Pelodiscus sinensis: one gene and its partner. The protein of the gene in region 2 binds, or shares a complex with, the protein of the main gene of each other region. Links are inferred from orthologs where the notes say so. Each region holds a gene or a part of one and is shown on either strand. Other genes may lie near its edges.

Evidence for each region.
Region 1: the proteins of DNAJB1 (region 2) and NUDC are in contact, whole or in part, in a crystal structure (PDB 7NDX), measured with the Homo sapiens proteins. The link is inferred for Pelodiscus sinensis from reciprocal best matches to the Homo sapiens genes DNAJB1 and NUDC. Residues at the interface, in NP_006136.1 of Homo sapiens: His166, Lys181, Lys182, Met183, Lys184, Ile185, Ser186, Asp201, Lys202, Ile203, Ile235, Phe237; in NP_006591.1 of Homo sapiens: Pro102, Gln103, Ile104, Lys105, Glu106, Leu107, Ala112, Leu115, Gln116, Ile119.

Annotation. Positions count from the first base shown.
Region 1 is NC_134735.1:2,376,239-2,392,060, reverse strand, and holds the start of NUDC (nuclear migration protein nudC), read right to left. Parts: upstream 8,297-15,822; 5' UTR 8,230-8,296; coding exon 8,137-8,229; intron 4,590-8,136; coding exon 4,512-4,589; intron 1,090-4,511; coding exon 886-1,089; intron 438-885; coding exon 351-437; intron 1-350. Other genes in the region: NR0B2 (nuclear receptor subfamily 0 group B member 2), read left to right, coding at 10,727-11,270, 12,598-12,878. UniProt on the Homo sapiens protein: Plays a role in neurogenesis and neuronal migration. Necessary for correct formation of mitotic spindles and chromosome separation during mitosis. Necessary for cytokinesis and cell proliferation.
Region 2 is NC_134729.1:10,607,113-10,622,919, reverse strand, and holds DNAJB1 (dnaJ homolog subfamily B member 1), read left to right. Parts: upstream 1-7,549; 5' UTR 7,550-7,706; coding exon 7,707-7,917; intron 7,918-9,939; coding exon 9,940-10,508; intron 10,509-10,999; coding exon 11,000-11,230; 3' UTR 11,231-11,784; downstream 11,785-15,807. UniProt on the Homo sapiens protein: Interacts with HSP70 and can stimulate its ATPase activity. Stimulates the association between HSC70 and HIP. Negatively regulates heat shock-induced HSF1 transcriptional activity during the attenuation and recovery phase period of the heat shock response.

The DNA of each region.
Region 1 (15,822 bases), on a different chromosome or scaffold from region 2:
CATATACATTTCACTAGTAAGGATGGCTCTTTAAACTCATATGGGACATTCCAGTTAATGATATGTTCAATGGCCAAGGCACGCCATGCAGATCCAGTAGAGAATTAGAAGGCAGATATTTCCTTTCAAAGCATCAGATTTTAAAAAAAAAGAGAGACCATCCTTGAGAATCAGTTGCACGCTCCAATTGGGCAGGGGGTACAGATGGCAGAAGCACTGTAGATCTCCAGTGCCCACTCAAAGACAGGGGACACTTCACCCTTTTCACTCCTCCCACACACTGAGAGGCCATGTCAGTGCTGGACTGCTTCACCTCCCCAGAACTGAGGAAGTCTCTAGGAATATATTACCTGTTTGCTAGACTCTGGAGATTCTGTTGGATTCTCAGAGGGTTTCATGGAGACTTCTTTGGGCTCATCTTGTTTTTGTTCTTTTTTCTGTTAAAAAAAAAGACCCCCCCCCCCCAGAATAATTATCTGATGTCTGAGAAACTGACAAGTGAAACCTACCGATACAGCACTAGGTGACCCCATTTCCTTCTTTAGAGTTAGAAGTTACAGGACTGTGCATAACTCACAACTACAGGAAACTTGGGGACGGGAGGGGATTGTCAGCCCTACTGCACCCTGTAACAGGAAAGCCCCACTTTCTGAAAGGCAGACTGGAATGGCCTCTGCCCTCCTCTGCTCCCTTTCCCAGTGTAATCGCACAGACAGTAAGTCAAACTGCACCAGAATGCTCAGTTGCAATAAGAGCATGAACCTTCTAGCTGCATTATACCAGTCACTCCTGATTGGGTTGCATACCAGCCAACAGCTCTAGCTCCAGTCTCCATTTAAACGGTAGATGGTGCACACCCCCATGCTCCCCATACTGAGCTCTTACCTGGTCGATTTCCTGTTGTAACCTTTCTGCCTCTTCCTCCGTAAGCTCCTTGATCCTCGGCTCATTATCTTCCTGCTTCTTTTCTTTAGTGAGTCTGGCAGCTCGCTCTGCCTTTTCACGCTGTTCTGCCTCTTGCCGGGCCTTTTTCTCCTTCCGCTCTTTCTGAGCCAACTTGTTGTGGTGGTTGAATGTCTCTGTGATCAACTAAAGGAAGGAGTCCAATGATAAAGGAGTTTTAAGAATTCACCATATTCCTGAACCTGAGTGGCAGCAACTGAAAGGAGACTCCATCTCCTTCATAAATCGACTGCAGAGCACAGACAAGTTCCTCGGCAGCCCTGATCTAGGGGTATTTCCCTCTCTTTTCACCGCACTATTTGAGAAGGATAATGGGGAAAGTTCAGAATACCTGCTGATAGGTGAAAAGGACTCTTGTGAGCCTGAGTCTCCAGTGGCCTGAACCTTACAAAGTGTAAAATTGGTTCCTGCGACCTGGCAGAGTTTAACAGCTACTTTGCACAGGTGACAGTATAATGGACCCTAATTTCTATACGCAGCTCTGTGCCACAGATTTGTGGTCTCACTTTGTACTATTCACGTAGACTCTGCCTTACTCATCTGTAAAAGAAGAAAAATACTGTCCTAAAACTCAGCGGGCTGGTAAGCTCTGATAACTAATGTTTGTCAATGTGTTGAGATCTACCCCACAAAAGTGGTGATAGAAGTAATAGGTGTTAAGAGTAGGTGTTATAATTGGATCCAGATGCTTTCCAAGTACAGTGCAGAAGGCCTTTCCCATCTGAAGCATGCCCATATACTAGATGGGCAACTATCCAATTTCATATTTAAATAGGAAGCTCGTTAGGGTGAAGAACTAGCATTCACACAGCTTTTTGTAAAGGAACTGCACTGTTGGCAGAAGAGGAACAGCAAAAAGAAACAACAAAAAGCTCTAGAAGCATCAATTTTTACCTTAAAGCTATAGTCTGTAAGAGAGATGTGAAAACCTAATTCTATTGGGTAGGAACAAGCTATCATATAACACTGCCCCAAAGGGCTCTCAGGTCCATCATCTTGCAGTGACTCAGGTGCACCAAGAATATGGAATCTGATGTAAATGGCTGCACTGCTTGGCGGGAGAGTTGAGTACATAGGCAGGAAGCCAGAGCAATAACCCAGCCATTGATAATGCCCAAGGTACTGTGCAAGGCAGCACGTAGTGAACACACAGTTCTGCTATAGGAGACACACTAGCTCTTTTGAAAGGAAAGAGCATCTAAGGAGAATGTCATGCGGGGCAGGTGGGAGCAACCCTGGTAATCATCATAGACAGAAGTTAAAAGGAGGGGAGGAAGAAATTCCTTAGATCAAAGGGTATGAATTTAACAAGAGGAAGATCCAAGAATGTGCTGGCACTTATCAAGGTGAACTGGGCCCAAAGCAGCTCACAGAATCTCGACCTCAGTTAATTATGGAACTGACTGCAGTCCGGGGAAGAAGGATACAATCATTAGTAAATCTTAGACCATAAGAATAGCTGTACTGGGTCAGACCAAAGGTCCATCTAGCCCAGTAGCCTGTCTCTTTATGTATATACCAGGAGTTCAGAACTCCCCCTGCTATGATATTTAATGGAGGTTGGAGAAGCATATTACAGGTTGAACCTCTCTAGACTGGCATCATCCAGGGTCCGGCATGATTTCAGTTAGCTGGATGTCCACTTAACATGGATGTGGCCAAGTTTCCCGCAGTGCCATAAAGTTTGTTTATAGCCACCAGTCCTGGCTCTCAGTGTTCTGTGCTGTTATTCAGCTCTAATATACCCCTAAATGTCTTCTAAGAGCCCAGCGATCAGTGGAAGCATTGGAAATCTTGCAAGACACTACTGACTCGCGGTTCGGCAAAATCTCTGGTTCAGCACTGCAGGTCCCGAGGGTGCCAGACTAGAGAGGTTCAACCTGTATTTGTCTGCAGTATGCCTAACCCACATCACGGGAGGGTCAGAGACTGAGATCAGGACCTCACACATAGCTGGCAGCACATGGCAGAGTGTTATACAACCATTTGTGGAACTGGCTCAGTTTCAAGTTTCTTTTGAAAGTTGGTTCAGCATTTGAGTAGCCATGAACAGAAGCACAAAAATCTATATTTGCATGTAGTATAATTTACTGACTGTACAGTGATTATCAAAGACTTGCTCCATAGTATGACTATATAAAAACAAGCACTCCAAGTTAGTCAAGCACAAAAAAGTTCTTAAAAAGAGGGAGGAGGTGTGTATTGTCACCCTCCACAGCTGCATAATTCCCCTTACCCTACCACTAAAGCTTCACCTTGCTGCTGAGACTATACACAAGACATTTCAGTCCCAAAGGAAACATTAAGAGTTACAAGGGGTAAAGGGAGAATGAGAGCGTGAAATAGGGGTTCTTCAAACCTTTGTTGGGGCACTGTGTTGCAAAAGGCAGAGAAGTCATGTTTTGCATGCAGCATCTTTCTGAGGATCACAAAACACTTTACCAGAGAATGAAACCTTAACTTCTTACGGATGGGGAAACTGAGGGAAACTGCTAAGTGATTTGACTTGCTAAGTAACTTTTGACAGTACAGCACAGAAGCCAGGAGTCCCAGCTTTTAGGTCTCAACTCTGACCATGACAGTGGGCAGCGTGCATACATTATGCAGCATTGACAAAGCCATATGGCAGTGCTTCTCAAACCCTGTGGCCTGCAGGCCAGCAGTGGTTGATAAAGCACTTGGCGGTGGCATGCAGAGAATTTGTTGATCACAATCTTCTGGTCGTTCCTTGCCTCCACTTGCTAAACTGAATTACAGCACCTGTAAATATATTTCATAATGTCCCAATATTTATTTATTTCATACAAAAATTCCTATAGTTGCCACAGAAGTTATCCAATAGCCAGTAGGAGAGGAAGTGATCTGTATGGAAATGAATGTTTCCATGAGATGCTGCTAATATACAAGCCACACCCAGAAGAAGTTTGGAACTGCTACTGCATAGCTAACTACAGAAGGCTTTCCGAAAGTTCTGAATACTTCATATTGGAGTGCTGAGATCTGTTCTGAGATTAAATATGAAATGCAGTATGTGGCAGTAGGGTCAGGCATGCCAGGAACCTGAAGGGTCCAGTTCTCTCACACCCACACAGTAACCACCAGTCTCATAGCCTTCAGCTCAGAGACAAAGTGGCAGTTATGTGAGATGGACTTTGTGTTTTCTCTGAAATGAATAAACAAGGTAACCTGGGGTTATTAAACCTGCGGTGTCTGACCCAGTCAAATCAGTGCGTCTGGCAGGCATGCTTTCCAAACAAGCCTTTGGCCAGAGCATAGCCCAAAAAGCCTGTTACCACTGCTCAGTTGTGGATGGGGCAGTTTATTATGACCTTGTTTCCTTAGTATATTTCAGCAGCATCACAAAGTCAGGCCCACAGAGCAGTAAAAAATAATCAGATGGCAATAGGAAAGCACAGAGGCAAAGCAATAACTGGAAAATCTGAAGAACTCATTTCTGTGGTCCACTGAGTGTTCCCAGACAGAGAATAACTTGCTCTGGGGATGGACGAAATCAGTCATGAAGATTTGGAGGAGGGGAGGGGAGTTACCTTCTCTGCTACTCCCTCTTCTCCGCCGACGAAGAAGTCAGTTTTGCGTCTGAGGAAACTGAAGAACGTGTTCACAAGCTGAAAGACAAAAGACAAGGTAGTTTCAGGAGACCCAAAATAAAGTTTCAACCTACTCAAAAAAGCCAAGGAAGAAAAAAAACGCAAAATAACTTTATTTTTGGCCGGCCAGAATACTAAACTGCCACCTGATCAACAAGAGATGCTAGTTCCCATCCGTACTTCTCACCTCAGTAAGGAGAAATGTTTGATGTTATGTACTGAAATCCCTAGCCAAGTCTACCTGAAGACCTGTTAAAGCTTGGAATCAAACCCCTGTACCTATTTCTCAGATAAATAACAATTAGTGCATTGTGCAAAGCTATGCCTTCTGAGTTCTCTACCTTCAAGAGATTCTCATGAGATTATACAAGACTGAAATTCTTTTTGGTGTCCCCTTCCCTTGAAAGCATTATGACTACTATAGCTACAGTGTGGGTTTCTAGAATTAAAACTTTAAAATGCCTATGTGAGGATATTTTTTTAAATGTTCATCTCTCATAATCTTAGGTCTTTTGCTTATATGATAACCCAGTATTTTTCTTGCATGTACTAAGTCATTCCTCAGCTCTGAGCAACACTGTAGTAGCTGTAGGAGACCTTATGTTATCAAGTCTCTTTTATAAAAAAAAATTAGATCACAACACACTTAAATATGAAGAATTATAAGTTGACTATATTATAATAATACTAAAATAAGAAGTAAAGCACCTGTAATTCAGTATCCTAGACTTCGGTTTTCTTGGTTTATCTGTAAAATTCTGTAATTCACAATGGCCAACAATGCAAACTAGGGACTTAGTATCTACCACACTGGTTTAGTAAAGCCAGGCTTTTGCACAGCTGCAAGTAAAGTCTGGAGATCTGAGTTGTTACAATCCCTTATCACCTGTTCCTAAACTTAGTATCTCAGTATCACATTTTTTATTTAAAAAATTGTTCAATCTGCTGGATGAGAGAACTCTTAAGTATCCTCACTTTCAGGCCATCAACCAAGCAATGCTCTCAATATCCAAGGAAAAGATAAATGTGGTGTTGGACTGCTTTGGTCTATTTTAAGATTAATTTTCACTAGGACTCAACAGAAGCAGAGACAAGTAGCTGCTCTAATTATGGCACAGCTAAAGAATAGCATTTTGCAAATGGTCCAGAAGCATGGGAAGCAAAAGGGAATTGCTTCAATCAAACATTTGATGGAGAAGCAGACTAGATTGCCATGCTGAAACATATCTATTTCTAGTTGAAAATTCCTGGGAGGTGGGAGAGGAAAAGCAACTAGTACGCACTGAGACTAAATCGCTGCCCGCACCTCAGCTGGAGCTAGGTAAGAGTTTAAACAATTAACCGATAAGCTCATGCTTATTGGTTCATGTTACCATTTAAACTCTGCTAGGGAGCAGGAGTGGGCAGCAGGCAGCCTGGAGCTTGTGGTGCCAGCAGCCTGGGGAGCCCGTTTAATTGTAACTATAACCGATGGACTTTCTATCGATTACACAGTTAATTTTTTTTAAACATAGTTTACATCCTAGCTGGAAGCTGTGCTATGTCAGTGCTGCTGTTACGGACTAACCCAGTAACTCTTCTGATACATAGTATCTCTTAGGAGTCCTAGGACACCTTAAAGACTAACAAATTTGATTTGGGCACAAGCTTTCATGGGCAAAGACCCACTTCGTCAGTTGCATGTTGTTACTACTGTTTCCCTGACTGATGTAGGCAGGTACTTGATCCAGAAAGCCACAGTAACCCAACCATCCTATTTATTTTCCTAGGTCATTTGAAACATAACGTAAGTCCTTGCAACACTTTGAGACGAGTGCCAGTAACAAAATCTATCTATAGTGGCCAAGAAACTGCTAGTGTTTAAACAATTTTGCTTGCATCATGGTTGCAATGCTAGAAGCTGAGATTGGATGACAGGAGATGGATCACTTGGTAAGTTGCCTTGTTCTAATCACTCCCTTTGAAGTACCTGGCACCAGTCACTGTTAGAAGATGGAGCTACGGTTCCTTTAGCCTAGTATCCTGACTCAGGGTGGTCATTCTTATGGGTACAGCATATCAAGGATAGGACTCAATGACATGAGTGACAAACATAAATCAGCCATATAGGACGGGCTTGCCAAGTGGCGGCGAGCCTCGCTCACCAGCTGTGCGCTGCACATGCAGACCATGTGCTGACCGTGCTGTGCGGCCGTGCTGTGGCGAGTAGATTATGTTAATTGTCAAGCCCTGCATATAGGTACTAATATATGTAATGCAGTTGTAGCTGGGATAGTCATTAGAGCATTACAGAGACAAAGCAGGTGTGCTGATAGCTTTTAGTGGACTCTTAGAATCATTCCTGGACTTGTAAAAGAGTATGGCTCCAAAGCTGCTTCTCTCTCACTAAAAGAAGTTTGTCCAAGAAGAGATTACCTCACCCAACTTGTCTCTCTAATACGGATACTCAGTATTTTTTATATTACATTTATATTACATTTTTATATTACAATTTCAACAAAAAGGGGATGTAATATAAAAAGTAACACCAGTGTGGATTTGTTCATCTTGACTGTCTATAAGGGTTCATGTAGGTTAACAGCACCATATCAATCAACTATATATTGAGAGTATGTGTCTGTCTCAGAACTCCTCCTAAACGGTAAGAGCTAGGACTACCAAATTTGGTATACGGCTTCCTCATATCATAACTTAAAGCACAGTAAAAGTTTGGTTGTGCCAGGAAAATGGGATGGGCCTGGAATGGGGTAGCATCTCATAAAAACATACAGAAAAGAGACAAATCACCAGAAAAGTGAAAGAGGCTGGCTGGGGGCATTTGCCCTGTCCAGGATTGCCACAACACTGAGCCTCCCACCCCTCAGGCATCCTTTAGAGAGGATGGGAGGAAGGGGTGAACCACGTCCCCCAACTCATACGGGACAAGGGAATGAGAATGGTTAATCAATTCATTAGTGGGGGCCGGAGCTGTTCCTTGCCCACTACAGGCAGGGGCTGCTCCGTCCCAAGGAGCCCAGCACGGGTGGGGAGTGCTCCTACCCAGCAGGAGCAGCCCAGCGACAGAGAGCCCACCCTGGACATGCCACAGGGGCACCCAGGCCTGGCCAGAGCAGCCCCTGTTGGCGGCAGAGGAGCTGGAGCGCCCCCACCCCCACTGCCGGTTAACCGTTTAAACACAACGTTAGCCAATTACATGGGGTTTTACATCCTCACGTGCGGGACGTTGCCAGCTGCTTCCCTTGGTCAGGGAGCGGGGGGGGGGGGGCAGTTTGCTGCAGCCCGCCCCAGAGCACGCGCCCAGGCGCTGGCGGTGTCTCAGAGCCCCCCCAGGCCCACGCAGGCCCGGCACAGAGCAAGGGGGGGGACGGCCGGGAGCGGGCGTTACCAGCCCCCCCCCACGCAGGCCCGCCACAGAGCGGGGGGGGGGCGGCCGGGAGCGGCCGCCACCAGCCCCCCCCCCACGCAGGCCCGGCACAGAGCGGGGGGGGGGCGGCCGGGAGCGGGCGTTAACAGCCCCCCCCCCACGCAGGCCCGCCACAGAGCGGGGGGGGCGGCCGGGCGTTACCTCCCGCACGCCGCCCTGGTGCTGCTGGGCCATGGCCAGGAGCATCCCGTCGAAACGCTCCTCCTGCTCCGCCGCCTCCGCACTCGGCCCCATCCTTGCCCGCCGCCACCGCTGCTCCCGCGGCCTCAGACCCTCACACCGGAACCGGAAACCCAGCCACCGCCCGCCAGCCAATCCTCGCGCCCCACGGCCCCCTCCCCGCTCGCTGATTGGCTGGAGCCGCGTCCTGTCATCGGAAAGGAGGCGGGAGTTCCACGCCGGGTTCCGCGCGTGGCGTTGGTTTCTATGGTGACCGGCCGCGTCCGGGGCCTTCCAGAAAAATCGGCGAGGCCGCGTGGCCCCGAGTGGGTAGGGAGTCAAAGGTCAGGTGTTATGGGGCATATCCACGTGGGGTGGGAGCCCTAGGACGGGTTGGGGGGGGGGAGGCCTATATTGGGGTCAAAGGGCGCGATGCCTCGGAGGGGTCAAAGGGCAGGAACCACGTGCCTCAGTGATCAAAAGGGGGGGACCCTCGTGGGAGCCCATATTCTTGGGGGGGGCCTCTGCCAAGGGAAGGCTGTGGGGGGAGGGGCACCAGGCGTCCTGCCAGGCCTCTTGGGCAGGGTGGCCAGGCGTGGCACCAGGGCTTCTCAGTCGCCCTCGGCGCCGCCCGCGTGCAACCCCGGGCATCCCAACCACACCGGGGAAGCTGGCTCTCTGCCGCTTATGGGCACCCAGATGGCTGGGGCAGAGCCTGCCTGCGGCGGGCAGGAGGGAACATCCTGTCCTCCAGAATCACTGTGGAAAACACCAGCGGCAGCACACGGGCCCCAGCGGAGGCACCCACCTCAAGGGTCAAATGCGCTCACCATAGTCATTTAAGGCAATGATTCTTAACCCTTTCCATGCTGCTGCTGTTAGTAACCCTCCCTGGTCAATATCATGCAGAGAGACCAGTAACCTATTTAGATGAACCTATTCACATTACTAAAATTACACTGTTAACTACTGGGAGAAGGGATCTGGAAGCTAGTATTTTCCTAAGACTTTCCATAGTTGGGTGATCTCCACTGGGAACTTCTAGTGACTGAAAGTTCCACTTGGCGCTACACTGGGTTCGTTGATGTTTTCTGCTTCTTTCTAAACATGTAGGCTACGTCTAGACTGGCATGATTTTCCGGAAATGTTTTTAACGGAAAAGTTTTCAGTTAAAAGCATTTTCAGAAAAGAGCATCTAGATTGGCATGGATGCTTTTCCGCAAAAGCACTTTTTGCAGAAAAGCGTCCGTGCCAATCTAGACGCATTTTTCCGCAAAAAAGCCCCGATCGCCATTTTCATGATCGGGGCTTTTTTGTGGAAAACAAATCTGAGCTGTCTATACTGGCCCTTTTGCGCAATACTTTTGCGCAAAAGGACTTTTGCCTGAACGGGAGTCGCATAGTATTTCCGCAAGAAGCACTGATTTCTTACAGTAGGAAGTCAGTGCTGTTGCAGAAATTCAAGCGGCCAGTGTAGACGGCTGGCAAGTTTTTCCAGAAAAGCGGCTGATTTTCCGGAAAAACTGGCCAGTCTAGACACAGCCCTCTTGCCACCTGCTTTCCTCCCACTCATTAACTTGCCTTCCAGACAGCCTGGCTCTTCCTTCCTGCCTGTTCTTTAGAATCAGGCTCCATGATCCTGGAGGGGTAGGGGTTTCAACTAAGTGACTTCTTCCTGCCCTAGAAGTTCCTCTGAGTCACGACACTCCTTGAAGCATGAAGACATAAACATCCATGTATGAACAGTATGATGCATCTAACCTGTCTATAAAACTGATGAAATCTCCTAGGAAACAAGGCAAAAAGTAAAAAGGCCCCATACGTCCGTGTTTCCCCCCTCCCTAAAACACACAAGATACTTGAGGCCCCAGCCTCCATCTGCTGCCCTTTGTAGTTCATTAGGTTTTTTTTTTCTTTATCTGCAACAACAGCAGCCTGTTGTCAACAAGGTTAAACAAACAACCTGCTGATAAAATGACTTCCAGGTTGCTCTTTCCAAGGCCAGAGTTTACAGGCTGTTTTGCTACTGGTCTCTTGCTCCAGACAAGGTCTGTGTGTGTGTGTGAACTCTTTGGCAATGACACCTGTCATATAGCATTGCATGATTACACACCTGGGGCCTTGGTGCCATGGTACGGGCTGGGTTAATGACTTTGTTTATACTGTTGGGTAATCCAGATAAGAAAGCCACTCAATCTGCCATCCCATCCCATCCTCCTGGCCCTAACTGGCACTTTCATTGAGAAAACCTTTATCTGCACCAGTGGAAGCTCCACTTCCCCAGCCAATCAGTACTGAGTTGAGTTGTTTTTCAATGAACGGTGCTTAGTTAAAGAGAGGTCAAGGCTGCTAAGGGGGTGTTTCACTTAGAGTCTTATAAATAGAGCCAGGAATAACAGCCAAAGGTATAAGAGAGGTGACCGACCTGGGAGCAGCAGGCTGCAGTCAGAGAGCTTTGACTGATACAGCAGCCTTTGCAAGGGACCAGGCGTGCTCACAGATCCACCCAGCCAGGTGCACAAGAGTCTCATCCTCCTTGGGACCTGACGGGATCCACTGGCCAGGCTCAGCAATGACTACATGCAGCATGGATCTGGACTATGAGAAATGCCAGTGCCACAGTGAGGAGAACCAAAATGCCATCCTCTACGCCCTCTTGAGCCAGAACCTGAACCACAACTGGGGCAGCCACAGCCCATCCCAGCAGCGCTGCCTGTGCCAGAAGCGTCGCACCGTCAGCCTCCGGACACCTCAGCTCACCTGCCAGGCAGCCTCAGATGTCCTTGTGAAAACAGTCAGCTTCATGAAGAACCTTCCCTCCTTCCAGCTGCTGCCTCGGGGGGACCAGCTGCTGCTTCTGGACAGCTGCTGGGCTCCACTCTTTATTCTGGGGCTGGTTCAGGAGATGGTGACCTTTGAGGTGATGGAAACCCCAGCCCCGAGCATGCTCAAGAGGATCCTTCTCGATGGCCAAAGGAAGAGACAGGAGCCTGAGAGGGCACAGCCCACCTTAGCTGGCGTGAAGAGGCTACAGTGCTGCCTGAACACATTCTGGGGCCTGGACCTGAGCCCTAAGGAGTATGCCTATCTGAAAGGAGCCATTCTCTTTAACCCTGGTGAGTGCCGAACCCTCACACCCCTTTCTGTTGGCAGGGACAGATGGCACGTCACACAAGAGTATCTAGCAATGAATAGCTGTCCATCCATCCAGGGAGCTCAAAGCTCTTACAAGCTAAGGATATTAAATATCGGGTAATTGACTAATTGAACAGTCAATGCATTTTTGCATCAACTGTTCAATTAGTCGATAGGGTGCCTCTGCCTTTGAAGCGTAGCAACAGTCGTTGCTTAAATTTGACACTTTACGACTGGGCCTCAACAAAGATGCTAATTATCTTACCCATTACGAAGATAGCTTCCCCAATTATCCCCTCTAATATCATTAGCTCACAGACATTAACCTCCCGCCCTCATCCCCCTTCTGTTCTGAAATGTGATTTGTCCTTTCTATATGTGTTCGCTTTTTTTGATTGTATCCCTTTGGTATATATGGTCATGCCAATTTTCTTCCACAATTTGATCTGAGAAAGTGGGTCTGGCCCATGAAAGCTCATCACCTAATAAACCATCTTGTTAGTCTTTAAAGTGCTGCATGGTCCTGTCTTTTGTTTCAGCTAGACCAGACTAACACGGCTACATCTCTATTACTAAGCTGGATGTAGTATCCCTATTTTAAAGACAGGCCAACTGAGGCACAGAGCATTTTCAGGGCTAATTTTCAGCTGTGCTGAGCATCTCCAGTTCCCATTGACTTTTGGAATTCAGGCTGTTAGTGACTTGCCCCAGTTGGTCACTTGCTTTAACTCACAAACCTTGGAGTCAACTGTGCTGATAGGGGTGGCTTATTAGTTTCGCAGTCTCTCAAACCCTAACCAGGGTTGATTCAGTTCTTCCTCTTTTTGAAGCAAATAAACTAAGTCCTATATAGTTTATTGTGATGGAAGGGACTATTTTAATCAGATTTTAAAATTGCGGTCTTGCATACCCTTCAGCAAAAAGAGGATCTCAGAGCATGTTTTTCTAGAGCTGCATTTTGCCCGAGCTGTATTGGTCAATATTTTTCCTCCCTTGATGTGTTACACACTAATAATGAACTGCTGCTCTCCACCTCAGACGTGGCTACGTTTCAGAGATGCTGCATATCTATAGCTAGTACTTTGGGATCCTCATATACTATGAAATGTAAGGAAACATGTTTATTTATCTGCCTGTGCCGGTGTGCAGGCAGTAGAAAGAAATCAAATTTGATTGTGAATCACTAGCAATAGCGGTGAACAAGCCTTCAGCAGAGGCACATGCAGGATAAGAGCCTGGGCCTGGGGCATAGCTTGGGAAGCAGAGGCTAATTTTCATTTGTATTTCCTGTTGTTTCTCTTTCCATAGATGTCCCAGGTCTCAGAGCCTCTCTGTACATCGAGAGCCTCCAACGGGAAGCACAGCGAGCGCTCCGAGAAGTCCTAGTGCCCCTGCACCCAGAAGACCAGGGCCGCTTTGCCCGCATCTTGCTGATTGCCTCCACCTTGAGATCCATTCCTCCTGCACTTATCACAGACCTCTTCTTTCGACCCATCATTGGCAATGCAGACATTATTGAGGTGATCACAGAAATGCTGTATGAAATAACCAGCCGGCGACTGACTCTTTCGTCACACACAGCCTCTTGAGAGATCACATTCAGGGCCACCCTCACATGCGCCTCCTGAGCACTGAGTTGAGTTTCAAGGGACAATAACATTAATATGATGTGGGGATTTGGTGGGAAAGATACTGTGGACTTTCAAACACACCTGGTTTTGTGTGTGTATTTCACTTGGGCTCAGGCAACAGCTTCAGCAGTTGAAAAGTGCAGCTAAGCCACATTCTAGAACATAGCTCTTATTTATTCAGCCCCTGTACAAACTGAACTCATAAAGCCAAATCATTTCTGAAGTGTGTGTGATTTTACTATTTCACTGCACAGTAAAGTAGAAAAAAAAGCATGGCCAATGTCCTTGAAACAGTCCTTGCAAAATAAACCTCTGGGCTGACATTTTCCCTAGGAAATATGCAGATCAGAGAAGCACTTCTTTGAGAAAGGAGGAGATTGAAGCCAGGGCTTTGTACAGAATGGAGTTTCCCAGTTTTACATGATAAAATTTCCAGAGAAAGACTCTGTTACATACACACACACACTCACAATCTGATTTTTAGATGGGCTCAGCACTCAGTCAGCCTTTTAGATGTTGCTCAGCACCTCTGAAAACAGGCCTGCAATAAATGATGGCTGTGTCTACACTGGCAAGTTATTCCGGAAAATCAGCCGCTTGAATTTCCGGAAAAGCACTGACGATCTAATGTAAAATCATCAGTGCTTTTCCGGAAAAACTATGCTGCTCCTGTTCGAGCAAAAGTCTTTTTCCGGAAAACAGTTCCGGAAAAGGGCCAGTGTAGACAGCACAGTAGTGTTTTCCGCAAAAAAGCCCCGATCGCGAAAATGACGATCGGGGCTTTTTTGTGGAAAAGCGCATCTAGATTGGCCACGGACGCTTTTCCGGAAAAAGTGCTTTTCCGGAAAAGCGTCCTGCCAATCTAGACACTTTTCCGCAAAAACTTTTAACGGAAAACTTTTCCGTTAAAAGCATTTTCGGAAATTCATGCCAGTGTAGACGTAGCCAAAGTGTTGGATTAGAGCTCCATATTTTGTGATTCAGGGTCAAATCCCAACCCCACTGAAGTCTATGGTAGTTCTGCCATTGATTTCACCCTCACAGACTATTCATACATCGGGGCCTAGTTCTGCAATCTTTAGTCACGCTGACCAGTACTTGACTTGAATGGAATTAAGGATGCCAGATAGTTTAAAAAAAATACCGAACATGGTAGGAAACATTTGGTTGAGCAAAAAAAACCCGGACACCTGGCAACCCTAAACAGAATCACTCATACAATGCTACCTAGTGCTGTGGAATCGGGCTTTTACATAGTACCTGCATGTCTGTGTTGCATGACCAGGTTATTAAGTGTCCTGGAGTCTTAAGGAAGTAGCCATTACACATCTATCCCTGTTTCAAACACTGACAGGCAAGGGCTGCACAATATTAAAGCTAAAAGAGTTCACAGAAACCCACGTTTTGCCTCCCTGACTCAAACTAAGTAGGCCTGGAGAAGAAAATGGGAGTATTCTGATTAGTGTTCTTTATGTTTGTACCACTGCTGTTAGGGTGGCAGAATCTACTACCCTTCGTTAAAGTGGCTAAATAAGGCTGCATTTTAGTGCTATTAAGAACAGGTAGGACTGATGAGCTTAAGTCCATTTGTGTAATGGTGAGTGATATTTCCGAGGTGGTACATGCCATAAAGGAGGAGCTATGTCAGTGGCTATACAGTCCATTCTTCAGCTGGGCATCTGCTTCCCAGACTACTTGATGGTTGCTCCTGCTCCCATTGTAGGTGCTGATCTATATAAAGAAAACAGCCTTTGCACAGAGTTCAGACATAAGTATTTGTGAGTGGATGTTAGTCTGTGATCTGTATATAAAATGCAGTAAATTATTTTTTTAAATAAAATGTTTTACATTTTGGAAAATGTTGGTTCTGTTTTGGAAGGTTTTTTTTGGTGTGTGTTACATTTTATTGAAACTTAGAAAAACCTGCCACAGGTCACATAATCCAAACATTCAAATGGGATGAGGCGCAGTCCCCAGAAAATCCCCATAGGAATGCATTCTATCTTAAACTGCAAAGCAAAATCAGTGTTGCACTTAAACATTGTTGGGGAAAGGTATCTGATTAATAGCGGTGGAGACCGAACAGGAAAATTACAGGCTGAAAAATTGCGACATTCCTCTGCGGTGCTTCTCGTCACCAGTCATACATCAATCCCATCCTGAAGGCACTGGGCCAAATTCAGGAGTGATGTGCAGTGTTCCCGCTAATCTTTTCCATTCACACATGGAATACATTTTGTTATGTGAATGAAAGCATGTGTGCATGTGCACCACCAATAGAAACACATGCTTCCAGCTGTGGGTGCTCTGCTAATCAGCTGGGCAGCATCTGAATCTCTCCTGGACAGCTGTCAAAGCCCTCATCTTAGTGTAAAGATGAGCTCATCTTAGCACTCATCTTAGCCCTGGTGTTCATAGAATCATAGAACCATAGAACTGGAAGAGACCGCAGAAGGTCATCAAGTCCAGCCCCCTGCTCTAGGCAGGACCAATTCCAACTAAATCAACTCGGCCAGGGCTTTGTCTAAGGGTGTTGTGTAAAGTCTCCAATACTCACTTAGGGTGTCTACACTAGAAATGATATAGTGGTGCAGTTGTAACACTGTAGACTCCCTCAGGTCTGGTCTACACTTAAAACTTGTCAGCCTAGCTAGATTGCACATAATACTGCCACACCCAAGCTTTCAAAAATCATAAGGCATGATCCCAAAATCATGAAATGAGCTTAAATACAACATTTTAAAATAATCCATTTGGTTTCTTTTTATTTCCTTTTAGTCTTTTTTCCCATAGAATCATAGAACCATAGAGATGGAAGAGACCTCAGAAGGTCAAGTCCAGCCCCCTGCTCTAGACAGGACCAATCCCAACTAAATCAACCTGGCCAGGGCTTTGTCAAGCC
Region 2 (15,807 bases):
AGGTGCCTGTCTACACTGGCCTTCTTGTGCAAGTATTATTGCGCAAGAGGGCTTATCCCTGAGCGGGAGCGTCAAACTATTTGCGCAAGAAGCACTGAATTCTTATATTAGAACGTCAGTGCTCTTGTGCAAATTCAAGCAGCCAGTATAGACAGCTAGCAAGTTTTTGCACAAAATCTTTCCAGTCTAGACGCAGCCCACCAGTTGAAACATGTTGCCGGCTGTGGGCGCTCTGCTGATCAGCTGGGCAGCATTTGAATCTCTCCTGGGTGGAGGGCCAAGTGCTCCGCTTACAGGGAACTCTGACCATAGGAGCAGTCAGAGCCTAGCAAACCTGAAAGGGAAGTGCAGAGACCTTTGTGTGTTACCTAAGTAATCTGCCCTGCTTGTTATTGCAGATCTTCCAATGAAAGGATTCCACAACGGGAGAAATAGCCTGAGGCAGCCTCTCTTCTGCAGGGGAGAGGATGTGGGGGGACAACAGTATCTCTGTTAGTGTAATCAACTAACTGCTGACATCCCTATTAACTGTATCAGAGGCAGCAAGTGGTGGGGGGCAGCCAGTGCCTGTGAGGCTTTAAGCAGGCTCCCCACAAGCGCTGGATTCATCTGCCTCCCCACCCCTGTGCTGCTGCCTTTGATAGAGAGGCAGTAGCATGGAGGGTGAGGAGGGCAGGCTGGAGCCAATACTCATGGGAAGACAGCTTTCAAGCAGGTTCCCTGCATGCGTTGGCTTTGCAGATCTACCTTTCCCCCCTTGCTGCCTCCTATAGAGGCAGTGGGGGTGGGGGAAGGCAGCTTAAAAGACAGTTCCCCCTCAGCACTAGCTCTGCTGTGCTGCCTGTTCCCCCCTCCCCCCGATGCTGTTGTCTCTAAAGCAGTGCAGGGGTGGGGGCCAGGGAGGCTGCCATGAAGCAGCCTCTGTCTGTGACAGTAGCCCCTGTCTGTGGGGTCCAAGCTCCCTGTGGACAGAATCTGCTCTGCATCCTATGTTTAATCAAGCTACTGCTGCTTCACCTTCCCTCTCCAGCTGCATTTTGCTCCCTTGGTCATGTTCTGCTCAAAGTGACTTGAAACAAGTGAAAGATTCCAAGCCCCAGCTGGGAGATGCAGCCAGTAGCTCTGCATTTACATTCGAGATGGTGAAAACTTCAGCTTTACTTGTGCATTGCAGAGAGAAGGGGGAAACCTATAGCCTTCTGCAAGGGTCACCCTGGAAAGGCAGGGTGTCTGGGTCTGCTGACAGAATTCGTGCAACCCAAAGATCCCCTTTGTGTCTTCTAGCTATCTGAGAAACGAGGTCAAAATTACCCAGCTCATCACGTCACTCACCTATTTGTTACCTCCCTGAACCCTTGCAGGTCTCTTTAGTTTTTATACCATGCCCATCATTATGGTCCATGATCTCTTTAAGTTAAGCTGCAGAGAGCAGCACTTTTTGTCCTCCCTTCTAGTGCTAAGGGTAGAACCCAGTCATCCTGACACGTGGGCCCTCCATGCTCTGTTCAGTAGACCCACCTCTCTCCTAGAGCCAGGTAGAGAACTCAGAACAGTCTTACCAGAGAGCTGATTTAAACAAACATAAGGAAATATTGCACTACTCAAGCAGTTAGCCTGGGAAACTCACTGCCAGGGGATGTCAGAGTATAACTGGGTTCAAAAAAGAAAGAGAATTTCCTGCTGCTAGGTCCATAAATGGCTACTAGCCCAGGTAGTCAGGTATGCAACTCCATGCTAGATCTGTCCCTAAATCTCAGAAGCTTCTAGAACTGGCCACTGTTAGGCTATGTCTACATTACCAGGTTATTTCAAAATAAGTTTTGAACTAATAACTCCTAAAACAACTATTTTAAAATAAGCTTATTCCTCTTCACAAGCAGGAGTTATTTTGAAATAACTGGCTTGGTAGTATGGACGCTTGCCTTATTTCAAAATAACTCCCCAGTGTAGACATGCCCTCAGATAGGAGACTGGACTAATTAAACTACAGGCAGTCCCCGATTTACGCGGATCCGACTTATGTTGGATCCGCACTTACGAACGGGGCTTTCTCGCCCCGGAGCTCACAGGCAGCGGTCAGCCATCTGGAGCTCCGGGGCGAGAAAAGCTGCTCCCGGTGCCCCTGGTCTGCTGGGGACCATCTCCAGCAAACCAGGGGCACCGGGAGCAAAGCGGTCCGGCGCCAGAACAAAGCCTCAGAGGCGAGGCAGCCCCCCCCCCCCCGCCGCTTTGCTCCCTGTGTCCCTGGTCTGCTGGGGGGTGGGCGCAGCTAGTGTGCCCCCCCAGCAGACCAGGCTTTTGTTGTGGACCATGGGGCAGAGCAGCTGGGGCACTGCCGGTTGGTCCCGCAGCGCCGCTCTGGGCACTACTGGACCAACCCGGCAGCACTCCAACTGCTCTGCCCCAGGCGTCCTGATTCAGCCGCTGCTGGTCAGTTTCAGCAGCTGCTGAATCAGGACTCCTGGGGCAGAGCAGCTGGGGTGCTGCTGGGTTGGTCCAGTAGCGCCGAGGAGCGGTGCTACTGGAGCAACCCAGCAGCACCCCAGCTGCTCTGCCCCAGACGTCCCCAAGTCAGCCGTTGCTGAAACTGACCAGCGCTGACTACAGGAAGCCCCGGGCTTCCTGGAATCAGCTGCTGATCAGTTTCAGCAGCAGCTGACTTGGGGTTCTTAAGTTGAATCTGTATGTAAGTCAGAACTGGCGGTCAGTTTCAGCAGCAGCTGAATCTGGACGCCAGTTCCGACTTACATACAGATTCAACTTAAGAACAAACCTACAGTCCCTATCTTGTACGTAACCCGGGGACTGCCTGTATTAATCTGATCCAATGTAGCTGTTCCTATGTAAGTCCTGATTTCCAGCCCTTCCTGCTCTAACCAGAATCAGGTATAGAACCCAACTGAGGAATGCTGATTTCTGGCTTCCATCCTCTAGTTCATTGCATCTCTGACCCCGGCACTGGTTTGACCACTACTGAAATATTGTGTCCAGTTCTAGTGCCCACAATTCAAAAGGATAAATTGGAGGGGTTCAGAGAAGAGGGATAGGAATGATCAAAGGATTAGAAAACCTGCCTTAAAGGATAGACTCAGGGAGCTCAATTTATTTAGCTTAACTAAGAGAAGGTTAAACGGTAACATGATTATGGGCAGTAAATACTGATATCGGAAACAAGTATTCAATAACAGGCTCTTCCATCCAGTAGAAACAGGTCTAACATTATCCTATAAGTTGAAGCTAGACATGAGGGCTGCATCTAGATTGGCCTGATTTTCCGGAAATGCTTTTAGCGGAAAAGTTTTCCGTTAAAAGCATTTTCGGAACAGAGCGTCTAGACTGGCACGGACGCTTTTCTGCAAAAGCACTTTTTACGGAAAAGCGTCCATGCCAATCTAGACACACTTTTCCGCAAAAAAGCCCCAATTGCCATTTTTGCGATCGGGGCTTTTTTGCGGAAAACAAATCTGAGCTGTCTACACTGGCCTTTTTGCGCAAAGGCTTTGCGCAAAAGGGACTTTTGCCTGAATGGGAGCAGAATAGTATTTCCGCAAGAAGCACTGATTTCTTACAGTAGGAAGTCAGTGCTTTTGCGGAAATTCAAGCGGCCAGTGTAGACAGCTGGCAAGTTTTTCCGGAAAAGCGGCTGATTTTCTGGAAAAACGGGCCAGTCTAGACACAGCCATTCAGCTGGAAGTTACTCACATTTTTAGCTCGTGGGTAATTAACCACTGGTTGCCATGGATTTTTATCACTGGCAACTTTTAAAACCAGACACAATGTTTTTCTCCAATGTCTGCTCTAGTTCAAAGAGGAATAAGCCCAGAGACGTTCTCTGGCCTGTATAATACTGGAGGTCAGCCTAAATGACTACAATGGTCCTTTATGGGCTTGGAATGGGTTAATCTCTTACAGCAAGCATCTGTACTGCCCCTTTCCCTCACCTGCTGTCCTGGTGATCAGTCAGTGCTTCCCTAGGCCAGGGCACATGTGAATGATTCACAGCGCACAATAACCAGACTGCTCATGCATGAGTTGCCCCTCTTTGGCCAGAGCTGTCAACCACCCTCTGGGGTCCTGCCGGGTTGTTCCTATGGGAGTGGAGAGTTGAGCCACATCTCCAGCATAGATTGGTGTCTGCAAAGCTGAGGAGCCCCACCTGGGGAAAGGACAATGAGGAAGGTTGTGTTGGAGGCCTCCAGGAGGAACTATGGGGTAGCTATCCCCCCATGATAAGATGCTACTTGGATGTGACTGATGTGTTTCAGCCCTTTACTAAGAGGCAGGTGTCCATTAACCGTCTTTGGATCCTTTTATTCCTACCCTCTTGGGCTGAAAAGCAGCTAATTATGGTACAGATGTGGCCTGCCCCACCTCCTCTTACAGGAGAGCATAACTCTGTGACCACACATTGTCCCTACAGATTTGCTTCTTAGCCTCCATCTGGACTCTGTGTATGCTTCGTAAACCTGACATCTTCTATTTAGCCCCGATGGTCTGTTTCCCTGTCTGCCACTCCTCCAACTCTTCCTGCCTTAGCTGCTGAGACCAACCCATCTCTTTCCTGGCAGGCTTTCTCCATCCTGGAAAGCTGGGGATGCAATCCCTGAGCATTATCTTCAGCAGCAGAACCTGTATTTCTACATGTTTTCTTCCAACCAGCAGCCTCTCCTTTTCCATTTTCCTGTGACAATTCACCTTCCCCGCTGTTAGGCAAATCATGTTCTACATCACAGGACCAATGATATGGTAGCCACTTAAATAGGAAAATAAGGGGCTCAAATGAATTGCTCTACACTTGGGGTGTTAAATTTTGATTAACTAATAGAATAGTCAATGGGATTTCCACCTTTGAAATGTACAAGAGTACCCAGTGGGGCTGATCCCAGGCTCCATGCAGCACTTTCCCTTTGAAATGCATAGGAGTCCCCACTGGGGACTCTTGTACATTTCAAAATAGGCAGCCCTGCTCCCTACCATGGATCTGGGAGGAAGCAGCTTTTAACCATGTGACCTTGGTTAGTTAAGTGTCTTGTGTGCCTGGATACCATGGAACAAACAGCAACCGGGAGGTGCTTTGCTCAGAAACACCCCCCCCCCATGTCTGCCCTTCCACCCAGCAAGATCTGTGTCCCTAGTTTGCACTGGTGTAACTCAGCTCAGATTCTTGGCCATGCTCTCTGATCCAAAGAGCTTGCATTCTCAAAAGCTTGTCAAAATCTGCCCGAACCAGAGGGGCAGCATCTTGCACTGCCCCTTTGTAATACTGACTTCCTTTGGCAAATGCTTTGATTTCTGCTGATGAGAAGCTCAGTAAGAGCAAAGAATTTCCAGTGTTACCATTAGTGAAGTGGGCTAACACCTATTTTACCCCACACGTCCAGCCAGTCAGACAGCATGCAACTAGGCAATGACAGATGGTCTGTATCAGAAGTTCACCGAGTGCTTGTCACACTACAGAAACCTCACCCTTACCACAATTGTACCCATTTTCCAGATATGCAAACTGAGGCAGAGATGGCGTGGTCTGCCCTAGGTCATACAATGAGTCATAGTCTTGGTTCCCAGTGCGCTGGTCTAATCACAAAGCATACTCCCCAAATCAGATAAAACCTATATGTCCTTGTTCCCACTCTTCTGTTCTAACCATTGGCCCATCATAATCCCACCCACTCAGCCTCATTTAGGAGAGATGCTTTGACTTTTTTTTTCCGTCTTTTTCTTTCTTTTTCTGCTTTTTACAGTGAAACCTTTGTTAACAGAGTGATGGATAACTAGAAAACTTTAACTGGCATTGCCCCCAGCCACAATACTGTCACACATTCAGGCACACAGGCCTGGTTTAGTTTACTGATTGCCTTAACAATTTTTTATTTAAGTACTAATCTTTAACTCAAAATAGAAATGTGAGACCAACTGCCTCACACTACAAAACTACCAATATTAAAAACTTGAGTTTTACTATTATTGTCCATTGGTTTTTCCTAGGTTGATGGGACCCTCAGACAACTGGAATTTTTAGATAACCGGAACGCGTTAATCCCCGAGCATGCTGGATAACACAGTTTTTACTGTATTTGAAGCTCTGTGCCTTTCTCCATTTTTTTGTCATCTGAAGAAGTGAGTTGTTTTGGTTAGTCTCTAAGGTGTTACAGGACCATTGTTGAGGTTTTTTAAGCTTTTATAGTGGAGAATGTTCCTTTTCTTTTCTAACAAGGGTGAAAAATGTCCTCTGATCCACTGTGACTCAAGAGCATCTCAGTGCTTTGTGCTTCTGGAGCATTGAGAACTATGATGACATAATTCAGATTTTTCCACAGCTAAAGTGGGAAGAAATGGTTTGAGTGTAGGGAGTAGAATAAATGTTTAGTTTTATGTAAATATGTATAAAGATAAATGTTTGATGACTTCATAATTTTTTTGCAATATATAATTCATACTTAGGCCCTTCCCTCCCACTAGCCTTAAGCCCCTCATTACCTTAATCCGGCCCTGCCTACATGCATTTCCCTGCCTCTCTTTCCTCATCGCTCTGCAGCACCCTTTGGGCTGGGTTCAGAGTCCTGTGTGCGGTACTCTATGGCCATTCTGACTTGCATAATATAAGCTCCAGCTTTCTGCAAGCTCGGGTACTCTGACCTTTGCCTTCCCCTTCCCAAACATCCTGTGCTATCTCCCCTCTGGGAGTCCTTTAATAAACTTGAACAAACAGAATCCAGGGCTGGATGTCCCTGGTGAGGAGGTGACAGGTTTGGAATCCGGATGAGTAGGGTTGCAAGCGTAAGCGTAAGTTATTGGTTACCCAAACAGTTACACACAGGTCTCAGGGACCCTCCTGCTGCCCTGCACTCTGGTGAAGGCAGCAGAGGGGGGCAACAGACAGGAGCCTGTACTCAGTTCCCAGCACACACCTGCACCTGGGAGCTGGCTGTGCCCGGCGTGTAACCGAACGTTTACCAAATGACACGTATTTTAACATCCCTAATGACCGGCGCCTTTGGAGGGGAAGGCGAGCCTGTGAGACCTGATGGGGTGGGTGCCACTAGCCGGGGGGGGGGGGGGGGGGGGGGTTGACCTTAGGTGAGGGATGCTGGTGGGGGCTGTGGGACATGGGATGAGGGATGCACTGGGCGGGGGCGTGGCTCCAGACTGCTCCTTTCCTTGCTAAAGGCCCACCCCGGGGCGTGGCTTTTGCCGGTGGGCGTGGTCAGTGCCTAGGATGCAAAAGAAAGCCGAGGCAGAATTGATGTTTAGGGTTTCAGCTCGGCCCCGCCCCCCCTGGGGGCGGGGCGAGAACGCTCGGAGAGTCGGCAACTGGTCCCACCAGGCTCGCGGCCTGAGAGAGTGGGGGGAGTCGGGACAGTGACCGGCAACGACCGTTGGTCTCACAGCGCGCGCTTCTGTCCCCTTCCCACCCCTCACTTGATGACGAGTGAGGGGCGTGGTCTCAGCGACGGTTAAGCTCTGGGGGGGGGGTAAGTGTGCGGTCACGTGACGCAGGCTCTGTCCCCACTGGCGGAGAGCGGCAGGCCCCGCGCTGTGATTGGGGGAGGCGGGCGGGAGGCGGGGTCCGGGCGGGGAAGGTTCTGGAGAGCTGTGGCGAGCTCTGGAAGGTTCCGCCACCCGTCATATAAATGGGGGGTGGCGGCGGGCGCCGCGCTGGAGTGACGGGAACCGCTGACGGGGTGTGAGACGCGCAGCTGGGAGCCATGGGCAAGGACTATTACCGGACGCTGGGCTTGTCCCGGGGCGCCTCGGACGACGACATTAAGCGGGCCTACCGCAAGCAGGCGCTGCGCTACCACCCCGACAAGAACAAGGACCCGAGCGCCGAGGAGCGCTTCAAGGAGATCGCCGAGGCCTACGACGTGCTCAGCGACCCCAAGAAGCGGGAGATCTTCGACAAGTTCGGCGAGGAAGGTGAGGGGCGGCGTGTGGGCGCGGGCCGCGGGGGGGTCCGGCAGAGCTTGGTGGGGGAGATGGGGCAGGGGGCGTGTGTCGCTCGCTGTGGATGGGGGGGCTGCGCAGCAGGAATTGGGGGGCTGCCCCCGTGGTGTGGCGAAGGGCGCTGACGTGATGGGGGGAGGGGGACGCCCTATACACTGGGGCTCTGGGGAAGAAGGCGGGGGGGGGGGCTGTCTTTCAGCGGTGCAGCGCTGGGGGGGGCTGGTAAGCAGGGGGATGGTGCGCTAAGGTTTGGGGTGCAGAGCCTCTGTGCGAGGAGGCCCTGTTCCGGGGAAGACCGCATACCCGTGGGAAGGACATTCTGATGCAGCTTAGTACCTGGTGATAGGTAGGAAGGAGGTGGTTAGAAATAGCTGAATGTCATGCTGCTGGGTATTCTGGAAGTACTTTCCATGAAGTGAGGGGTAGCACTAAGATTGGGGAAGAGGAACATATGTCCTAATGGGGCACTCCCAAACTTTGTGGAGAGGGAACTGTGTATCTCTTACACACAAGATGGAGTGGTTTTCTTTCTTGATGCAATCCAGGGAGTGACAGAGAAGCAAAGTATTTACTAGTGGCTAGTCTCTCTTTAATCCTTTGCTTCTGAAATTCATTCATTTTTGTCTGGAAAGGAGTGCATCTAGTTGGTTTTCAGGGAACAGTACTGAACCCTGAATGGGCATGTACAGTAAAGGGATTCAGCTTTCCCGTGTAGCCTGTAGATACTGTCAGTAGCATGGGATAGCGAAGTGGCTGTCAGAAAAATAAGACTCATAGTAACAGGGAGATGTGTACAGAGCTAATTGTGAAAGGAAGTAGAACTAGTCCTATTAGTGAATTTAGGAATTAGCCAGTTTCTTTTATCTCAGAGCGTCCTGTTGCATTAATAACATAGCCTGTTAAAACTATTAATAAAACACAAGTGTCAGACTCTTTTGAACAAAATACAGGACTATGTAGCACTTTAAAGACTAACAAGATGGTTTATTAGATAATGAGTTTTCGTGGCCCAGACCCACTTCCTCAGATCAAATAGTGGAAGGAAAATAGTCTCTTTGGGAGACTTATTGTGAAGTCCATGTGCAAAGCCTGCCTGACTTCCTCCAAATTAAGGCATTAAAAGTCTGCATCAAATCTCTAATTTAACATTAGTACAGATTTTTTTTTTTTTTAGGGTGTAGTCTCATCCATTTAGATTACTCAAACAAGGGAGCTAGATTTCTCTGTATTTAAACAGCTAGGTTGGCCAACTCAACTGTTAACATCTGATGCTGAAAGAGTATGATTTTTAATATTTTTTAAAAATAGTTGCTTTTTCCAGCTAATAGAATTGTAGATAATTTCCCTTAAATTATTTTCCAAAATTTGTGTTTTGAATTGCTTTTCAGTTGCTGACTTCCCATGTTTGTTTCTCTACATTGCCTTTCCTGTAAATACTTAATGATTTCCCCATATGAGCTGATAGGCCACTTTTCCAGAAGAGGCGGAGCTGACTACAGAATGGTTTTGCTTGTCACTAGAAGATTCTAATATACTGTATTTGTTTGCCTGTGTATGTTAAATTATGAAACTTGCTCCGTAACAGTGTTTTATTGAAGCAGGAAGAATATAGTTGTAGTCTCCAGGCACTCAGATTAAATTATTTTTGCTACAATGGCTCTATATAGATGAGCTAGGTTTAATGCCAATTAAAGGAATACAGTTGATTATAAATTATTATGTTAGGAAACTCAGTAATTGAGAGAGAAGAGCTCTTCAACTTGGCTCTAATTTCTTTTTTGACTAGGGAGGTCTGAATCTTGACACCATTTTAAGATGACAGCAGGCCTCTTTGGTGATGCACATCAAACCTAAAGTTCTAAATAATGACATTCCCAGGATCTAAGAATGAGGAGAGTCTTGAAATTAAGAAAGATATAGGAGACATTTGGTAAATCTTGAGTTTAATAAATTCTTATGAGTAATCACTGGATTATATTCATTCTGTTTTTTCAGGACTAAAGGGAGGTGGTCCCAGCAGTGGCGGAAGTTCCAATGGTACCTCATTCAGCTACACGTTTCATGGAGATCCTCATGCTATGTTTGCAGAGTTCTTTGGTGGCAGGAACCCATTTGATACCTTTTTTGTACAAAGGAATGGAGATGAAGACATGGATGTTGATGACCCTTTCTCCACATTTCAAATGGGGGGCTTTAGTAATATGGGTTTCCCTCGTTCCCGCTCGGGCCATGAAAGTATGCGCAAAAAACAAGACCCTCCTGTCATTCATGAACTGAGGGTTTCCTTGGAGGAAATATATACTGGTTGCACCAAGAAAATGAAAATATCTCACAAACGACTTAATACAGATGGGAAGACCACACGGAATGAGGACAAGATTCTGACCATTGAAGTCAAACGAGGGTGGAAAGAAGGAACAAAGATTACTTTTCCAAAAGAGGGGGACCAAACAGCAAACAACATTCCAGCTGACATTGTCTTTGTTTTAAAAGACAAGCCACACAATGTCTTTAAGAGAGATGGATCTGACATTATTTTCCCAGCTAAGATCAGCCTCCGTGAGGTAAGCAAAGGTTCCAGATTCAGTATGGGATTAGTGGGTGGATTGGGTTGGGTTTTGGCTAGTGGAAGTGACAAGTGTTGAGATCTATCTGCACCCTGTTTCGTATCTGGCTTTAATCCATAATAGGATACCTGCCTAACTCTTCTGTGGTCTGCCTAAAATAAGATGGTAGCTTCAGGATACTTCCTTGTGGAACAATCAAAGGGTATAAACCACCATTAGAGATGGCAGATCACTGGCAACTACTTTGAAAATGATGTGGGTCAGTTTGGATACTGAAAGTTCAATGTGGGTCAAGCAGTTGTACAAATATATAACATAGTTGTACAATTTCTGGTACTGTTACTCTGTGCCTGCATCAGTAACTCAGAAGAAACAAATTGGAATAAACAGGCCATTGCAATGAAACATTTTTCTATTTGGTTGTTTGGGAAATCTGCTAGAGATTGTATATGTTGACACTGTTCTAATTTCCCTGTTTTTATATTTAGGCCCTGTGTGGTTGCACAGTGAATGTGCCAACGCTGGATGGCAGGACCATCCCAATGGTATTTAAGGATGTCATTAAACCTGGGATAAAGCGGCGAATCCCTGGAGAGGGTCTCCCATATCCCAAGAATCCAGACCAGCGAGGGGACCTTTTTATAGAATTTGAAGTAAAATTTCCAGACAGAATTCCACAGGCCTCCAAAAGTGTCCTAGAGCAGATCCTGCCAATATAGCAAGGCTGCTTATGGAGAACTGAAACAAGGACACTTCCAAAGCAAAAGGTTACTGGACCATAACCAGGACTTCAGGGTTTCTCTTCAGTGGAGGGTGTGGACTTTGAAACTCTTCCCCAAGAGTACCATCTTGAAAATTGTGTATTCGCTTTTCAGTGACTTTAGTCCCAGATCATCACTTGAAGTATTTACATCAATGAGCAGCTGCTTGTGGGAGGAATCTGTATCTCCTGGTCAAACCTTTCTTCTGGTGACTAGTTTCCACCCAACTGCTCCATGTGCTGCCTTCACTTAACTGACTAACCATAGACTGAGCATCTGTTTCACCTCATCTCTCGTGCAGAGCTGTAGTTTCCCCATTGGAAAGGGTGAAACAAATCTAAAACTGGACTTGCAAGTAAAAGACTCTCCATCTTGCCTTGGTGTTGTACTATGCTGTGTCCCTTGTCGCTTCCTATACTGAAGGCTTTTCATACAGGGACACACTAAATGTTAACTGGTATTTTTAGTTCTGTAAGTTGTCATTGTCATGCTTAAAAGCTTTTTGTATCAGTTTTTTCTTTGTCAATTGTGTTGGAAGACAATTTGTGTTTCACCTTAATGTTTCCAGAGAGTCACAGCTTAGAGAAGTCCTAAATGTCTTTCAGAATGTAAGCCTTTAAATTTAAATTCCTCACACATTGGCTAACTACCAAAGTTAACAAGGTCTAGTCTAGGGGGAAAACATATTTTTTTTACATTTCAAGTGTAATGCGTTTTGAAGTTTTCCCTCTATGAAAGTCTTCTCTCCCCCGTCCCCCAGACATTTTAAGGTCTCTTAGTCTGGATCCTGGTCATGTGGTGAACAAATACAGGGCTGCCTTTTTTCATTTCAGGTACATAGTACCTAAGGAAGATGCTGAGTCTTACTAACCCTGCATGCAGGATGAATATCAAATTTCATGTTAAAGACTTATTCAGTACGCTAATGGACTCTGGATTCTTCCCCCCCCCCCCCCCCCCCCAAACCAGGACTGTGAACTGGTAGCACTACCCCCAAGTTATCCTTTTTTGATAAAAAGGGTTTTCTCCTGATACAGGAGCACTATGGCACTTCATGTGTATACTTTGTGTGTAATACAAACTATGGTAGCTGCTGTTTTACAGGATTGATTACACTGATAAAGAGGGTGTGATGACATGCTTACTCAAACCAATGGCAGAGCATGATCCTACACTGCCTGGGCCGTGATCTTGTAATGGGATGGCCAAGCTGATAGCTCTTTGACATTAATCTGTCACAATTAAAATCTACTCAAAGTCTAAGCATGTCAGGTAGGATTAGATGTCTGGAATAAAGGACTTACCTACACATGTCATTAAAAATTCAGAGAGATGGGAAAACACTGCTAGAATTTATTCTTGTTGAATACTGGCTGAGTGATTAACACTTTTTTAAAAATGTATTAGCACTTTTCATTGATGGACTGTGGTGTCTAACGGAATTAGTGGCACAGACAGTCACAGTTCAGAGGGTTGGAACATAGGTCTTTACCCTCAAGTGCTGAATGTTTTCTTTACCCTGCTTTCAGCATGATCCTTGCTGGAACAGCTGCACTAGTCCTGAAACACTGCTGTAAAACTGTGGTGCACAACTTTTACAATAAAGCTTAGAGCAAGCAGGGACCAGGAAGCTAGGGCTTCTCTACTCAGGCTATTCTAGCCCTCCTTTGTTTTGCGTCACAAAACATCTTTAAGGTGATGTTCTATACCTCTTTCTTATAGGAGAGCTTCCAGGCCACTCGCACTATACTGCTTTCATTTGTCTGAGTTGAGCCAAGCTAGCTCCCATCTCTTTCTCCCCCCAGCAGATGCCATTTCAAAGTGCATGCATAGCTGCGGTGGCTTTGCTCCATAACAAAGATACTGCCCTTCTAAAACTACTTACCTCATGTGAAAGCTTAAATAGGTAATGCTTATGAGTTCTGGTTGATTGGTGGGGGCTGGAGCAGCTCCCTGGCCACTGCAGGCAGGGGCTGCACTTGTGCAGAGCAGTCAGTGGCAGCCTTGGCACCCTGCAGACAGGCTGCTCCAGCATCCGCAATAGCCTCTGTTCAGGGGGTTGGGGAGCCTAGGCACAGGCTGGAGCAGGCCCTAGCCCAGCTCCTGCTCAGTTAAGTGACTAAATATTACATCAACCTAACATTTAGCTGATTAACTGGAATGTACAGTCCTAACTGTTACTGACCTTGCCTGTATGATGTAGGAGAACAGTTAAATCTACATCATAGCCTCAAGATATAAAATAAAGTGTGGAAGGGGAATTGGTTGTACTTCTGACATTTTACTAGAGCTAGTCTTATGTATAAATTTCTCTCCGATTCCTGTTTGCAATAGACAATATGCTGTGTCTCTTACCTAAAAAGTTCTCTATTCTTTCTTTTCCAGTGCTGTATCTCAGCTAGCAGTTTCTTCCTTGTTTTTGTCAAGAGCAGCTGCTTGTATTAATTTCTCTGTGGGTTTTACTTCCACTTTGCTTCCTTGCTCTGTAATCATGTCTTCTTCACTGGGTACTCAATGATACTACCTCATGCTAGTTCTGGTCCTCCTGTTTGGTTGTGAGCAGAGTAGTTGCTCATGTTTCCTTCTACCATGTGGTTACATCTACCGGATGTAGACTAGACTGACCTCTTGTGTCAGCAAGTTCCTTATATAGAAGTGACTGACATTACATTAATGGATGTCTCACAGAGCAGAAGCTCTGCAGGATAGATATCTACTGTGTGACATCCATTAATAAGTTTGAGAATTTGCTGTAGCACAGCAATTATTACCTCATATTTATGTGTATAGCTGGGAAATGAAAGCTTACTCCCGTCAGGGTAACAAATCGGGGAGAGACTGGGAAGTTAGGGGCAGCAGTTTTTAGATCTAGTTCACACCACACCAGGGCACAGTTTCTGTGTGAGACTGCTACATGAAATCTGATGTCCTTATCCCATGTTCCACGCTTCTATATAACTGTTAAGGATGTTCCTCAAGCTTAGTCAATCAAAACCCTGTATTGAGCCAGGTTTCTTGCGCCTACCTCCTTCTGTCTTCATGAGTGGAAACTTTACACAATGAAATTGTACAAATCCAACTCCTGTCAGACTCCACTTTTCTTATACAGGTAAATGTTTCGTGCTGTATATTCAAGGGGGATTCTGGTATAGGGTTGTTGGATGAAGGATCAGAAAGCAGATGTAATTTGCTGCTGTCTAGCTCACCCAAAGCATTTCATGATCATTCTGACCCTTGAAAATTCTGTTAAGGCGCACATGCAGCTACCAGGCCTGCATACCCATGAAACTACCTGAACCAGCACACGATGCACTCAGTATCATAAAGGGTATTGCAGTGGATTGCACCTGTATTATAATTAGTGGCTGTGATGTGGTCTTCAGGCCCCCAGCAACTTCCTAGCTCAGCCAGCGGATGATACAATTTGCTTGCTGCATAAAGGCCAATTGAGATAGGGTCCCACTAGGTTAGGCTCTGTGCAAACAGTAGATATCCTGCAGAGTTTCTGCTCTAAATAAAACAAAATCAGAGTGGATGGAGGAAGAAATACAATAAGCAAAGTGAACTATGTGAGACCAGCAAATACCAGTTCCATTAACAGTTTTTCTTTTGGATGGGTTTAGCCAGGAGCAGGTCAGCTGAATGGGAAAGGAAGCAAGAGTGGGGGCAGCAGAGAAGAGGTGTAGGTGTGAAGTAAAGCTAAGATGAAGAAACGGGGATGGAAAGTAATGTTGGAACTAGGGATGTATTATCCTGTTTAATCAGTTAAAGGGGGCCCCTCCCCACCATGGTTGGGCTGGAGTGCCACAGGCAGGAGTTGCTGGCTCCCAGCCTAAGCAAAGCTACAGCTCCTGGTCCTGCATGGGGCTGCTAGCTTTCAGCGGCTGTAGGCGGAGCCGGCAGGTCTGAAGCAGCCCTCCGCTTGAGGAGGCTGCTCCCGGGTACCAATTAACCATTACCCACTCAAGCAGAGAATCTGCTAAAAGCTAAACATCATTAAAGGTTCACCTTAAAAAGCACCTGTTAGTTACAAGTACTCACGGGAAGCTCAGAAATGCAATACTAAACGTCTCAACCTTGAATAACTGTCCCATCTGTTTCTCACGTCAGCTGGAATTGGTACTGGATACCGATTTGAGAGAATGTCAAATGCATGCCTCCCTTCATTGCTTTTAAAAACGGAAGTTGAGCCAATAACAATATTCGTTCATTCACCTCGTCTCTCAATAAGGAACCAACGAGAAGGTATTGATCCGCGTACCAGGCCGCTGGGTCTGCATCATTTGTAGCCTTTCCTCTACAGCCCTGTTTTAGGCAGGGGGAGGGGGAGGATGGGTAATGCACCTGGTCTAGGTACTCTACCAACTCTTCCACCTACCAGTTTCTGATTGGCTATTTTCTATGTTCTTGCTTGTGATTGGCCAGGAAAAGCTGCCGAGGCAGAATTGGTTGGTAGGTGTTTCCTGTAGCCAACGTCAACAATGACAATTCCTGGGGGTCCCCCCTCCTTCTTCAATAGTATCTTGCAACTCCAC